3 linked regions of the Schizosaccharomyces pombe genome follow. The protein of the gene in region 3 interacts with the protein of the main gene of each other region in a pairwise test. Each region holds a gene or a part of one and is shown on either strand. Other genes may lie near its edges. The genes, in order: saf1, prp19 and dre4.

Region 1 (4,030 bases), on a different chromosome or scaffold from region 3:
GTTCTGCAAGCTTTGTCATTTCCAAACGTCAAATCCACCCCAATTCCACTAACATCTACTAAATTGATGCGAGGGACTCTGGCACTAGAATGGAAATCAGCATCAGCATCCAAGTACTTTCTTAAAACCATGGTGACGCGTCGTTTCTCCAATTCTCCAACTCGAGGTGACTTCAAAGATACGTCTACATCACTTATAGATAATGTTGTTCCAATATACATGCTACCGTATACTTGAAGTTCAGCATCCAAAACGACCTCCCTAATGTGAGTCTGTAGTTTCTCTAACAAAAGCTTTCTGTACTTCAATTCCTCGATTTTCGGGCTTACGAACTCCAAAAATGAATAAAGTCGAGCATTATCACTCAAACCTTCTTCATTCCATGGTACTGAATGCAGCTCTAACAGGACTTTACCCATTCTTAAGAAATGGCATTTTGGCTAATTTTAATATCAATGGATTCAATTTCATGGCTCCTCGCACATAACGAGGTCGTGCGAGTGCCTTGTAATTATATGTAAATAAATCATTTTATAGCAAAAAAAAGTATCACGAGTTTTTAATCAATAAATAACTTATTTGTTTTTATAAATAATAGAATGATTGACTGCAAAAGCTTCCTAGTCTCATACAGCATTTATAGCGAAAACCAAAGATTATGAACCCAAGAAAAGCAAGCAAAAGATAGATAAGTACTCCCTCATCTCTCATTGTGCAAATTTTAACTTAAGCATGTGTATTTCGATTTTTAAAGGTTTCCTTTATGATATTTTTATTTGATAAACGAATTCGTTGGTTTACGCATGTAAATACTGTCATGGCGTCTAAATACATATGAAAATAAAATAAAATTAATCCAAGTAATTAGTCATGTACTTCTTTCTTTTTGGTAATCTGATTCGTAATGAACAGTGTAGGACTAAGTGTAACAATCATAATTTAGCAAAAGACAAATTCACAAAAAACAGTCAACTTGAAATAATCACGGAAAGATGAATATAAGGTGTTTTTTTGAAATCCCCTTTCGCTCAAGCAGTGTAAAAGTGACTATAATAAGGAATTATTGAACCAAGAAAACATTAATAAATATCATGCAATAACACAGAAACAAAATCTCCTTTGTTTTTTTTGGACATCAAAAATTTGAAATTATTGACCGCATCATAATAATAAGCCTTTGAATTAACTTATGAAAGCTCACTCATAATTGAATAAAACAAAAAAACAAGTACAGAGATGCAATCAAGCTCCTTTAAAATTGAACCTAGTAAACAGATATTATATATAAATTAATATGCATGTTTATTAACTAAAAATTCCGTCTACACCCATTTGGTAATCCTTACTTCCAATCTCCATAATTTTAACGACTTTTTTATAGATATCCGCCAATTTCTTTGTAGAAATTATCTATTTCTTCATCCTTGTCTTCCTGAACTTGGCTCGATACATCCCTGTCTGGCTGTCCAATTTTCTGCCCCTTGGCTAGTTTTTGTCGTTGAAACGCAGCAGGTAAAAATTGAGCAGCTTCTTGTCGTAAATCTCTGACTACCGGCTGAGCTGAGTACTCAATCATAGTTTCCTCTTCAATGTCCTTCGTATTTGCAGCAGCTTCTGTCGTAGTAGTGGATTTTGGTTGTGCTGAACTTGCATTTATGTCTTGCTTTTTGTGGTGCTTTGGCTTAAAGCTCTTATTTTTCTTTTCCCTTGGCTTTGGATCCTCAAAAGGATATTCTTCAGAAGGTAAAGGTATATCAATAACGGATTCATCTGTTTCTGAACTTAGTTCTTCCTTCTCACGATAAGGCATTCCTGGCGGCGGAACTCCGTAAGGATTAAATATTGGATCATAATATATACTTCGTTTTGGGTTTTTAGGGATAAAAGGCTTTCTAGGTTTATGTTGACGTTCTGCCTCCTTAGTCTTGTCTGACTCAACACGCCCAACTCTATGTCCATGAATGTTTTTCTTCTTCATAATTGCCATATCTCTTTGCAAATTTTGTAATAATTGCTTGTCATGTGCATTTAAAGCTTGCGAAGATTCTAATTGTGTCAGCTCTGATAATTGGCGTTCCATTTGGCTCATATTCCTATGCGACAGTCGTTCTTCATGGCGTTTTGCTCTTTCTTCTCGCACTTTAATTTGTTCTCTTTTTTTCTTCTTTCTGCTCTCCGCTTGAACGGGATTTAATCCCCGTTTTGACAGCATTCTGTAGAGTCAAGTATAGTATGGGTTTAGAATGGTGGTGATCAAAAACGTGACATGTATAAAATATTTAGGCAAATAGACAAAGAATAGTATTAAATTGGTTTGAGTAATCGACCGTTTACATTAAATTTAAATAAAGAATAATTAGTAATGTTGAAGTTGATGAGCTAAAAACTAAAGTTAATAGGCTGGTAATTAATTGTGTATATAGAGTATGAGTCAATGATGGAATTTCAGAATCTTTTCGTTTAAGTATATTCTACTGTATTAGCAATCATTTAGTAGAATTGGGCTTTAAAACGTAATTATTTTTCTGGCCTTGCATTTCAAGGCTTCCATTTTTGACATGTAAGAGTTGGCTATTTAAGAAAAAGTACTTACTCATTGAACTTGGCAATTGTCAAATATTTGAAATATGCATACTCCTTATTTTAGTGATATTTTTCAGCTTGACTTCCCGTTTAAAAAATGAATTACTGCTTAGTAGAGGGAACATTTATGATGGAAGGTGATTTATAGTCGTGGATTCAACAAACAGTAGCAAAGTTCGTTGAAAATAATTAAATTCTTCTATGTCACTTATTAGTAGACCCAAAATCAACAGTTTACGTTACAACAATTGATAGGTTTTACGCTAATCAAAAACATATTGACAACCATCTACATTACAAACGCGTTTATGAACCAATCACATATAGTTTTATTTTCTTGTAAACATGAAAGCATTTTATTAACCATTAAATCTTGATCGATAAGAGAACAAACAATTTTGCCATTTTTACGAACCAAGTTCCTCATCCGGAAATCCGTAAGCTTGGCAGATACAATGGCTGTTCCATCTTCACCGAATCCAATAACCGATAGTCATCGAACGGCCAGTAAGAGATTACCAGCACACGAACTATATCAATTTCAGAGGATGGTGTTAGTAGTAAGAAAAACAAGCCATCATTTGGGACTATAAACATCTAAAAAGCAGTCACTCAACTAACGAACTTTAAAGCATTTAAAGTTGAGTAAGCGAATCAAGGGCAACTATCGAACTTTGTCCGTATGGCAGAATTCTATATATTAAAAAAATGGAAATTTTTTGAACTAATGAGACCGAGAATTAGCCGCTGCAACTTGCATAGCATGGACAAAAAACCCTTGTGAGCCATGATTTTTTTCTACGATGTCGTACAAAGCATCGGTGCTTAAACTGGAGTGCAGCAGATCATTCGATAGTAATTTTCTACCTATAAGAGCGTAATTTCTGGTGCTAGGAATGCGTAGTGGTTCAACCTCGATATTCCAACCTACCTCCTCTGACAGCTGCATGAGCCATTCAATGTACATGGCGTATCTTCCTCCATGTTTGGGATTTCGAGGTTTCGGTAATGCCCAGGAAATTTTAGCACCTGTCAGATCATGAACGCAACAAGGAATCGACATGAAATAGCATTTCTGATTTAATCTTGCTAAAATGGGAAGATAAGGAGTCAATTCATCCGCATGGTTTCCGATAAGGAATGAGTTTTCAGAAAATCGACCGTCATGAATGTTTGCAGCGGACATAGTGAAACCGGCAGGCAGCTGAGGAAATGGAATCTTTGTTTCAAAATCATGCAGAAAATAGGGTACAAGAACTTTTTCGTATAACTTTACTTGAACCCAAAGGGGATATGTCTCCCATGATTTTCTTTTTCTAGCGTCGAAGCCATATCCATTATAGCCCTCCATTAACAACAGATAAACAAGTAAACCATTTCCGCAACCAACATCAACAAAACTAAATTCTTTGTTTGATGAATAAGTTTGTTTCCACAATTCTATAAG
Region 2 (4,572 bases), 4.7 Mb from region 3:
CAATTCTGACTCATTTCCATTGCAATAGGTATATCTTCATATTTCAACAAACATTGACTGCGCACGGATGCGTCTACGTGATTACGAAGCCAACGTAGCTCATTCTCTAAGGCATTTATGTAACGCTCGATCTGCACAGCGCTTTTAGAAGGAATGGAGTAAGCTATCAAATCTAAATCTCTTTTCCCATTTCGAGCAACCGCTTGAAAAAACAGTTCTTTTTCTTCTGCACTCCAGTAAGTTCCATCCACACAAGAGCCACTAAGAACGCCCCATTGTTCTTCTTCCAAATCAAAGTCACGCTTATTTTCAGTCTCAACTTCGTATTGTTGAAGGACGTCTAGGTATCGTTCATCATGAGTCATGTACAATTGCTCACTTGAGCCAATGATAGATGCAGTGCTTAAAGGCGTTGACCCTTCACTCTCATTTAATCCGTTTATTGAAGAAGACATGTTATTATTGAGAACATGATCAACGCTAATGAAATAAAAGCTGTTGCAGTCTTCTTTTTAATATTTTTTTGTTTACCACATTACCAGACGTGGTTTGTGTTCTGACAAAGATCAAACTCGGTATTCTAGTGAATTTCGCTAATATACTAAAATCCAAAGGAATATATAAATGTAGAGTATCTCTAAAATTTACGGGTTTTAAACATAATAAAAAAATATAAATCGTGCTAAAATCTAGCTTACCGCTTATTGAGTACAAATTTTTTGCGCATGTACAAACACCTTAATCAAAACTGTGAACAAAAAATTGAAAAAGGCTGAAATGCATATATCAGACCAAGAAAAACTCCGTATATGTAATGATCTCTTGTAAAGTAGTTTGTTAACTTCCAAAAATTCTCAACCTGAAAAACGAATGGACAATTGAATTCAAATATCATTTTATACCAACCATATTCATAAATATAAAAAAAGGGCAAGATGCGTCAAACAACGTGTGCTTGAAGTTCCTAATTTAACGTCTTATTTTCTTCTTTAAACGACGTATTTTTTCTTTTCTTCTGTCCTGTGTACGTTCAAATTTGCTCTCATACCGAAATTTCTTTTTGGCGGCATTTTTAGGCTTGTGGGGACGCAAAGGAACATCTGGTGGAGGAGAAATACGAGGCGTGACAAAACCTTCTTTAGGATAAGCAATTTCTTCATCATCATCGTCCTCTACAATTTCTACCGTAACATGCTTATCATCTTCGTCATACTCAGTAGTTTTAGGCTCCATTGATGACTCTTCCTCGCTGTCAGATTTAGATGAGGAATCTTCTTGCTGTGAAGATTCTTCATCATTTTCTAGCGAGCTATTCAACTCTTTAGAGAATGCTAATCGCTCAGCCAGTTCTCTTTTGCGCTGTTCTCTGAGCTGAATAGTGTTAGTGATATACTCAAGATAGTATTAGAAAAACTTACAGATTTCCTCAACGCTAAACGTTCTTCGCGTTTTTGCTGCTCCAATTGAACTTGAGCATGCTTTCGTCGTTCAACTTTGCGTTTATGAAATCCAGTTAAATACTCTCTGTAACAAGTTAGTAGCAATCCCTTTATGATATCCATACTTTCGCTTCTCTTTATCAAAGACGATCTCCTCCAATCTTTGCTTCTTCCCTTTCTTCCTGCTGTAAATCTCACCTCCACGGGTTAGTAGAGATGTATTATCCATGATGCAACAGTTCGTGAGTAGCTAGAAGAGAGGGACAATTTATGGGAATCTGTAGTGATTTTAAGTAAATTATCTCCAATTCTATCCAGTCTCGTAATGGTCCAGTAGATTTATGAAGACGAGAGGTACTGAAACCCTACTATGCCTTGTACGTACATTTGCACTACTAACTAGAAAATTATTTGCAAAATGCATCGCATTTGCCTTATATTATATACGGATATTGGTATAGTGCAGTAAACGATTAGTTGGCTATGCATTGCTTTCCTCTAGCTATTACACACAGAAACCAACGTGTGCCGAATGTTTTGCTCAATCAGTGGAGAAACGCCAAAAGAACCGGTGATTTCTCGTGTAAGTGGTATGTTTGTACAATAATTTCCCTGTCTGACTGAATGTAGGAAATGTTTACGAGAAGCGCTTGATTGAACAAGTTATTCGTGAAACGTCTAAAGACCCTGTTACTCAACAGGAATGCACGTTGGAGGACTTGGTTCCTGTAAAGGGTAAGATTTCCTTCTTTATTATTGAATGGTTAAGAATTTCAAGTAGCACTTATTTTTTTATACGTGGAGTACTGAATATTCTGAAATTGGTTTGGAAAGTAAAACCCTGCAATATTGGTTGAAGAACTCGTTTATTTTCTTTTTTTTGTTGATAATGTATTTTATTGCATGATTGATTTGTACTCGAAATTTTTTAATTTTACAGCTTTATATTTCTCCTTAAAAAGTGGACTATTTAGTGCATGTCAATATCTCGGGGCAGAAATTAGGAAGGTTTTTAGAGAATTATAGAACAACCTTGTCGGATTTATCAAAACAAATCTTTATCAAAATTAATGTGGAGTTGTTGAGGAAAATGTATTAATACTTTAGATTTTTTTTGGTTTTTGCTCTCCAATGCGATTTATATTTACTATATTTTGATTGTACTGACCATTCACATATAAAGCGAATCAAATCGAAGATAATTGCTAACCTTTAAACAGTACCTGATTTTGTTAGACCTCGACCTCCTTCTGCCACTTCATTGCCTGCATTGCTGTCTCTCTTTCAAGAAGAATGGGATTCTGTCGCGCTTGAGCAATTTGAACTTAGAAGAAATCTTACAGAGACGAAGCAGGAGTTATCAACGGCATTGTATTCGCTAGATGCTGCGTTAAGAGTTATATCTCGGCTTACCAAAGAAAGAGACGAAGCTAGAGAAGCATTGGCGAAATTTTCCGATAACATAGGCACTGTTTCCTCGAAAACTATTGAAGTACAAGAGGTAGAGATGGGCGAAAGTGATGACCAGCTTAAAACTAGCTTACGCTCTACGGTGGAAAAAACATTTCAAGAACTTTCTTCCAAAAGGAAACGTACAAAGTTACAACCTAAATGGGCGACTGACGATGCTGTGAGTCAGCTCTTGCAAGCTACTCCTTCTACTATCTTAGAAAATTTGGAAACAGAAAGCACTACGTCTTTCTTCCCGTCCCCTGAAAATTCTTCTTTTGTATTATGTCTTCATAAGGATGAACTTTTATGTCTAGATATCCAATCCAACAGTACTCTCAAAATTTTTGAAGGATCAGCTTTAGCGTGTTGTTGGTTGACTTCTTCCAAGATTGCTGTCGCTACTGCTGATGCCATTTCAATTTTTGAATTTCCTGTTTCCTCATCTGGTTTACAAAGTGTGGGTGAACCTACTTCGTCCATTCCTATAGACGAAAAGGTGAACTTCCTTCAAGCTCATCCAAGTGGGGAATATTTATTAGCAGCATCAAACGAAAAGTGTTATATTTTCTCCCTGAAATCCCAGGTTTATAATATCACCGTTGCTCAACACATTACATCTCTTGCTGTACATCCGGACGGTAACCTCTTTGTCGCTGGGTTAGAGAATGGCGAGTTACGCTTTTTTGAGACTTCCTCGGGAAATGAGCTTACAAAATTTGGACCACATTCAAGTCCAGTTAAAACATTACAATTTGGTGAAAACGGTTATTGGCTTGTAGTAACAACTAATGATGACTCTGACATTTTCATTTGGGACTTAAGAAAATCTGAGCTTGTTCAAAAAATACCCCTACAAACCAAAGTCGCAGCAGTGTCATTAGATATTACTAGTCAACTTTTGGTAAGTTCGGATGGGGAGACTCTCTATGTACATATTTATGTCAAATCTTCAAAGTCTTGGAGATGTATGAGTCAAACCCATGTTTCCTCTATTTCTAATTTGGTTTGGTTAAATGAGTTACACCAGTTGTTGTTTAGTACTTCAAATGGAGCCATTCTCCGGTTGGGTTAACCCAATTTTTAATCCTTTAATTATGTGCTCCTCCATTAGGCTTTTCGTATTTAGTAAGATTTTGGCTCTTTAACTTAAGTGATTTCCTTCATAATGAAATATTTAGGCAAACTATTATTTTTCAGATAGATGTATCATTAAATTTTGACATTTGGTTTAATTGGCAAAAAATAATTTATGTGAGTTAACTCAAGTGTCAGAAACAGTGGGAGCCTCAGTTGTTTCTGATGCTTCTGGTTCAATTAAACTGACTTCCAGTAAATGATTTTGTAGTTTAGTAAGAGTTCTTTTAACTTTCTCAAGATCAGGCTCGCTGTAATCGACAGTCGGAAAAGACGTGGAAAGAGAATTAGTGAGCCAATATGATTTAATTTGTCGAGAAACATCCAGTAACTGTTCTACCGCGCGAACCATGGACACAGTATGGCATTCAATCTGGTAAACCTCTGGTGCTACCGTATATTTATCTTTGCCTTCATTTATAGCAATATCCAGTATGTCTTGAAACCTTGACAAAATAGTTAGTGTAGCATTGTCAATAGACGAATTTAAAGTATTAGTTCGCTGAACTAGCTGCCGTTGGAAACTGTCTGAAGACATACTAGCTTT
Region 3 (3,911 bases):
CCGGCATAAGTGATTTACATCATGAAAGTGACTAGTGAATGAAAGCCACCAGGTAGAAGTTGACTCCAACTTCGATACACATTCACTTTGCGAGCCACGAACGCATTCTGAAGGAGCCAAAATTTGAGACCGTTCAAAATCGCAAAGAGTCATTTGAATGGCTGAGTGAATTCGATTATCGATAGTCAACTCAGTATTCAATAAGCTACATTTGGAAATTAAAGTTGCAGCAACTTCCTGATAGCAAGTGGATTTTTTCAAGAGTGCTTGATATACGTGAGCTAAAGAATCAAAACCGGCTAACCCCTCGGAAAAGGCCACATTCGAATATTTCATAAATGATTCTACATCTCCGGTAGACTCACTAGTAAAGAAAAAAGAAATAATAATAAAAAACTCGAAATATAACCCAAAGGACGCGTCGGATGAAATTTCATAATTGTAGTAGATGGTAAACAAAGAAACTCACCCGTCGACAAACTACTTGCTTAAAAGAGTACGCGAAAAAAAATAATTTTTTTCCAAATAAATTAATAAATGAGAAATTCTCTAAGCACCTATTTAATAAAAAATTCATTAATTACTTGAACAAGCCAAGGAATCCAGTTCTTCACGCGTCAGTACGGCATATCGTGTGTCATTAAGTATGCTTTCTGTGAATTCGTCGGGGTTTTTAGGATCTACAGTTTTTGACTTGCATAGCTTTTTAAAATTTAACAGTTTGTCCTGCATAGGCTGTTTTCGTAGAATCTGAAACTCACGGAAAAGTTTCTCAAAATCACGTTCCGAATATCCTGGAATTTGAAGAGTCGACGACTTTCTATATTTACGTTTAAATTGAGGCCATAGCAAGGTAGATGGAAGTGAATGAAGCAAAGTCCAAAAATCCGATAAGGTATTTTTTCTACGCGTAATTTTTTTGGTAGAAACCACCGACTTGCAATATTCCTCAAACACCTCTTTTCGTCTCTCTCCCGAATCTAATACGTAAAAACGATCATCGTCTAATAACTTTGGATAAACTAGTTCCCACGGTTGGTATGCCCCGATGTTTTTGTCCTTCAAAAGTTCAGTAAATACTCTTCTAGCATCATCAGTAGATAAATTTGTAGCTTGTTCCTGTATATCATAGGAAACTGTTTCATCATCCAATTGTTGAAGTTGATACATAATATCTTCCTCACCAAACTCCAACTCTTCAGCGGAGTGTGATTTTTCCTCATCCTCTTCTTCATCAGATTTTTCATAAAATTCTTCAGAATATAAAACGGATTCCTCCGATGATTCTTCTAAACCAGAGGGCTCTTCAATCTCTGTTTGTAAATGCCTAGATTCATGTATTTCTTCGTGGTTGGTTTTACCACTATCAACGTTCTGACTCTGTGAGGAATCTTTACTGATTTGCTTCCGTATCGGAAGACGTAATATCTTCAAGTCTTTACTAATTTCCAAAGGAGGTTCCCAATATGATTCATGGCTTTTTAAATTGTGAAAGAAATACCGATTTTTCTTAGTAAAAACAACCACCCATGAATCATTATTAGGAATTCTTTTTCTAAAAAAAAAGTTAATAACAAAATTTTACGCCTCACATACTTGAATTTTGGTCTGTCCGGTAATTGTTTCCTCAAATCTCGAGAATTTTTGCGCTCTTCAGCATTTTCATTAACAAACAGCTTTTCGCTTGTGTTAAACGCCAAAGAAGCTTGCGAAGCAGTAACAGAAGATGAATGGTTTTTCTCAATGAAACTTGGGCGCTGGTAAGTGCTTTTTTTTAACTCGGCATTCCAGTAATAAGGAATCCCACTGGGTGCTATGAGTTAGCAAATAAACTGCTCATTAAATTTACCTTTATGTTCAGTCCATCCAGGAGGCAAAGGCTGTGACATTAAGATATGTACAATCAAGAAGTTAAGTTCGACACTATGTTAGGTAGTATTCAGTGGGCGTGTGTGTGAGAATAGATAGAACAGTTTTGCAAAATCCAGCTGAATAGTTATGTCAATTACAAAAAAATTTCTACAAACTATTAAAAAAAATCTGTATAAATTGCATAAATTCATAGGTGTAGTTAACATTATTGAATATACTACAAAAACCTCATAACAGCACCGCACGTAGCGTCTTCCCAAGTATTTCCTTTAGAACAAATAAGAAGTTAATGAAATGGTCTACCAAGTACAATATAATAAAACATTTTCGAGAACTTCAATTTTAATATTGTCAATTTACAACAACCCGCATAAATTTACGAGCAATTCATAACTCGTGGTAAATCGTTAAACGGCAGGCTGGAAGTATTTGTAAGCAGCTACATTTTTACACTAGTATTGACTCCTCTGGTTCAAATATTTTTACAAGCAGATTTTAATTATTAGCAACCTACACTGATAACTTTATATCTTGAGGATATGAAAGTACTAAAGGTAAATTGATTATCGTAAAAATAGCTCTCATTTATAAAGACATTTGTTGTACAGCATAGCTTGTAAAAATAAGCGGATTAACAACATACTAATTTAAATCATAATAGATTAATTGTATTAGAAGACAGGTAAAAGTCAGTCCTGTTATAGTAGTGTAGTAAGCACATAAAGAATAAAGCAAGTGTGGTAATCGCACTTCGGTAGACCTCATTAATGTTCGTGATCTAGTGCTTCGCGCATTTTCGAACTTGTCATCAACCAAATTCATTATGTCAAGAAGCTACGATTCTCGCACGACTATTTTTTCACCTGAAGGTCGTTTATACCAGGTTGAATATGCATTGGAAGCGATCAACCATGCTGGCGTTGCTTTAGGGATTGTAGCTAAAGATGGAATTGTTTTAGCTGCTGAAAAGAAGGTTACCAGCAAACTATTAGAACAAGAAGAATCCGCAGAAAAGTTATATCATATAGGAGACAATATGTTATGTGCTGTGGCAGGGCTTACCGCAGATGCAAACATCCTAATTAACTACGCTAGAAGGGTTGGGCAACAATACTTGCAGACTTTTAATGAAGAGATGCCTTGTGAGCAATTAGTTCGTCGCGTTTGTGACCTCAAACAAGGTTATACACAGTATGGTGGGCTACGTCCATTCGGTGTTTCATTCTTATATGCTGGATGGGATCATATTCGTGGATATCAGCTATTCCAATCTAATCCATCTGGAAATTACGGAAGCTGGCAAGCAAATAGTATCGGAGGAAATAGTACTAGTGTTCAAAGCTTAATGCGACAGGAGTATAAGGATGATATAAACTTAGATGAGGCTTCTGCTATGGCCGTGAAATTTTTGAGTAAAACGTTGGACAGTAACTCCCTAACTCATGAAAAAATTGAATTTGCAACAATAACAAAGGATACCACGAAAAACAAAATGGTTTGCAAAATATGGAAGTCAGATGAAATAAATGAAGTGCTCAATAAGTACCAAGAGACCCAGCGGCAATCTTAATATTGCCTTACTCAATTCATTGGGAAAACACTTTAAGTGTATAGCTGTTTTTTATAGCTTTCGTCGTTACCCTTTAATCTCCTTGTAATTAGCTCATGGTTTTTGTAAACAATTTGAAGCAAACTAAGTTCCATCATGAGCCTTATTCCGTCTCAATATAGGCTTGCTTTCTTTTTATCTACGCTAAATCATTATCTTATGAATTCTTATGCCGTTTTAAAAAAGGCTTTTTTCAAGTTTCTTTTATACTTAGACCTTTCTTTCTCATTCCCTTCATAACGTCAATTTCTACTTGAGTACACCATTCCGGCATATTTAAAATTATAGTATTTCCAATGGAATGTCAATGACTCTCATATGTTCTAAACTATATGCTTAGTTTTCATAACTGAAGATTTTAAACGGTGTAGCATATTCCAATTCTATACTATTTATAAAAATAAGAGAAAACTTTTTGATGAGTATTATT

Evidence for each region.
Region 1: the proteins of dre4 (region 3) and saf1 interact in a two-hybrid assay, tested with the Schizosaccharomyces pombe proteins (2 studies listed by BioGRID).
Region 2: the proteins of dre4 (region 3) and prp19 interact in binary tests that used the Schizosaccharomyces pombe proteins (3 or more experiments, as listed by UniProt).

The regions. Positions count from the first base shown.
Region 1 is NC_003421.2:1,652,058-1,656,087, reverse strand, and holds saf1 (splicing-associated factor Saf1), read right to left. Parts: upstream 2,241-4,030; 5' UTR 2,213-2,240; coding exon 1,376-2,212; 3' UTR 506-1,375; downstream 1-505. Other genes in the region: poly(A) polymerase Cid12, read right to left, coding at 1-419; trm44 (tRNA (uracil-O(2)-)-methyltransferase), read right to left, coding at 3,308-4,030.
Region 2 is NC_003424.3:5,131,271-5,135,842, forward strand, and holds prp19 (Prp19 complex subunit, ubiquitin-protein ligase E4 Prp19), read left to right. Parts: upstream 1-1,952; 5' UTR 1,953-1,971; coding exon 1,972-2,029; exon of another isoform or gene 2,030-2,069; coding exon 2,070-2,174; intron 2,175-2,513; exon of another isoform or gene 2,514-2,659; coding exon 2,660-3,963; 3' UTR 3,964-4,072; downstream 4,073-4,572. Other genes in the region: RNA polymerase I upstream activation factor complex subunit Rrn5, read right to left, coding at 1-455; rRNA exonuclease Rrp17, read right to left, coding at 970-1,371, 1,419-1,524, 1,565-1,668; srb6 (mediator complex subunit Med22), read right to left, coding at 4,153-4,563. UniProt on the Schizosaccharomyces pombe protein: Probable ubiquitin-protein ligase involved in pre-mRNA splicing. May also function in DNA repair.
Region 3 is NC_003424.3:424,008-427,918, reverse strand, and holds dre4 (splicing-associated factor Dre4), read right to left. Parts: upstream 1,942-3,911; 5' UTR 1,890-1,941; coding exon 1,850-1,889; exon of another isoform or gene 1,814-1,849; coding exon 1,597-1,813; exon of another isoform or gene 1,556-1,596; coding exon 577-1,555; 3' UTR 504-576; downstream 1-503. Other genes in the region: nuclear membrane protein Tht1, read right to left, coding at 1-336; pre9 (proteasome core particle subunit alpha 3), read left to right, coding at 2,696-3,442. UniProt on the Schizosaccharomyces pombe protein: Component of the spliceosome involved in mRNA processing.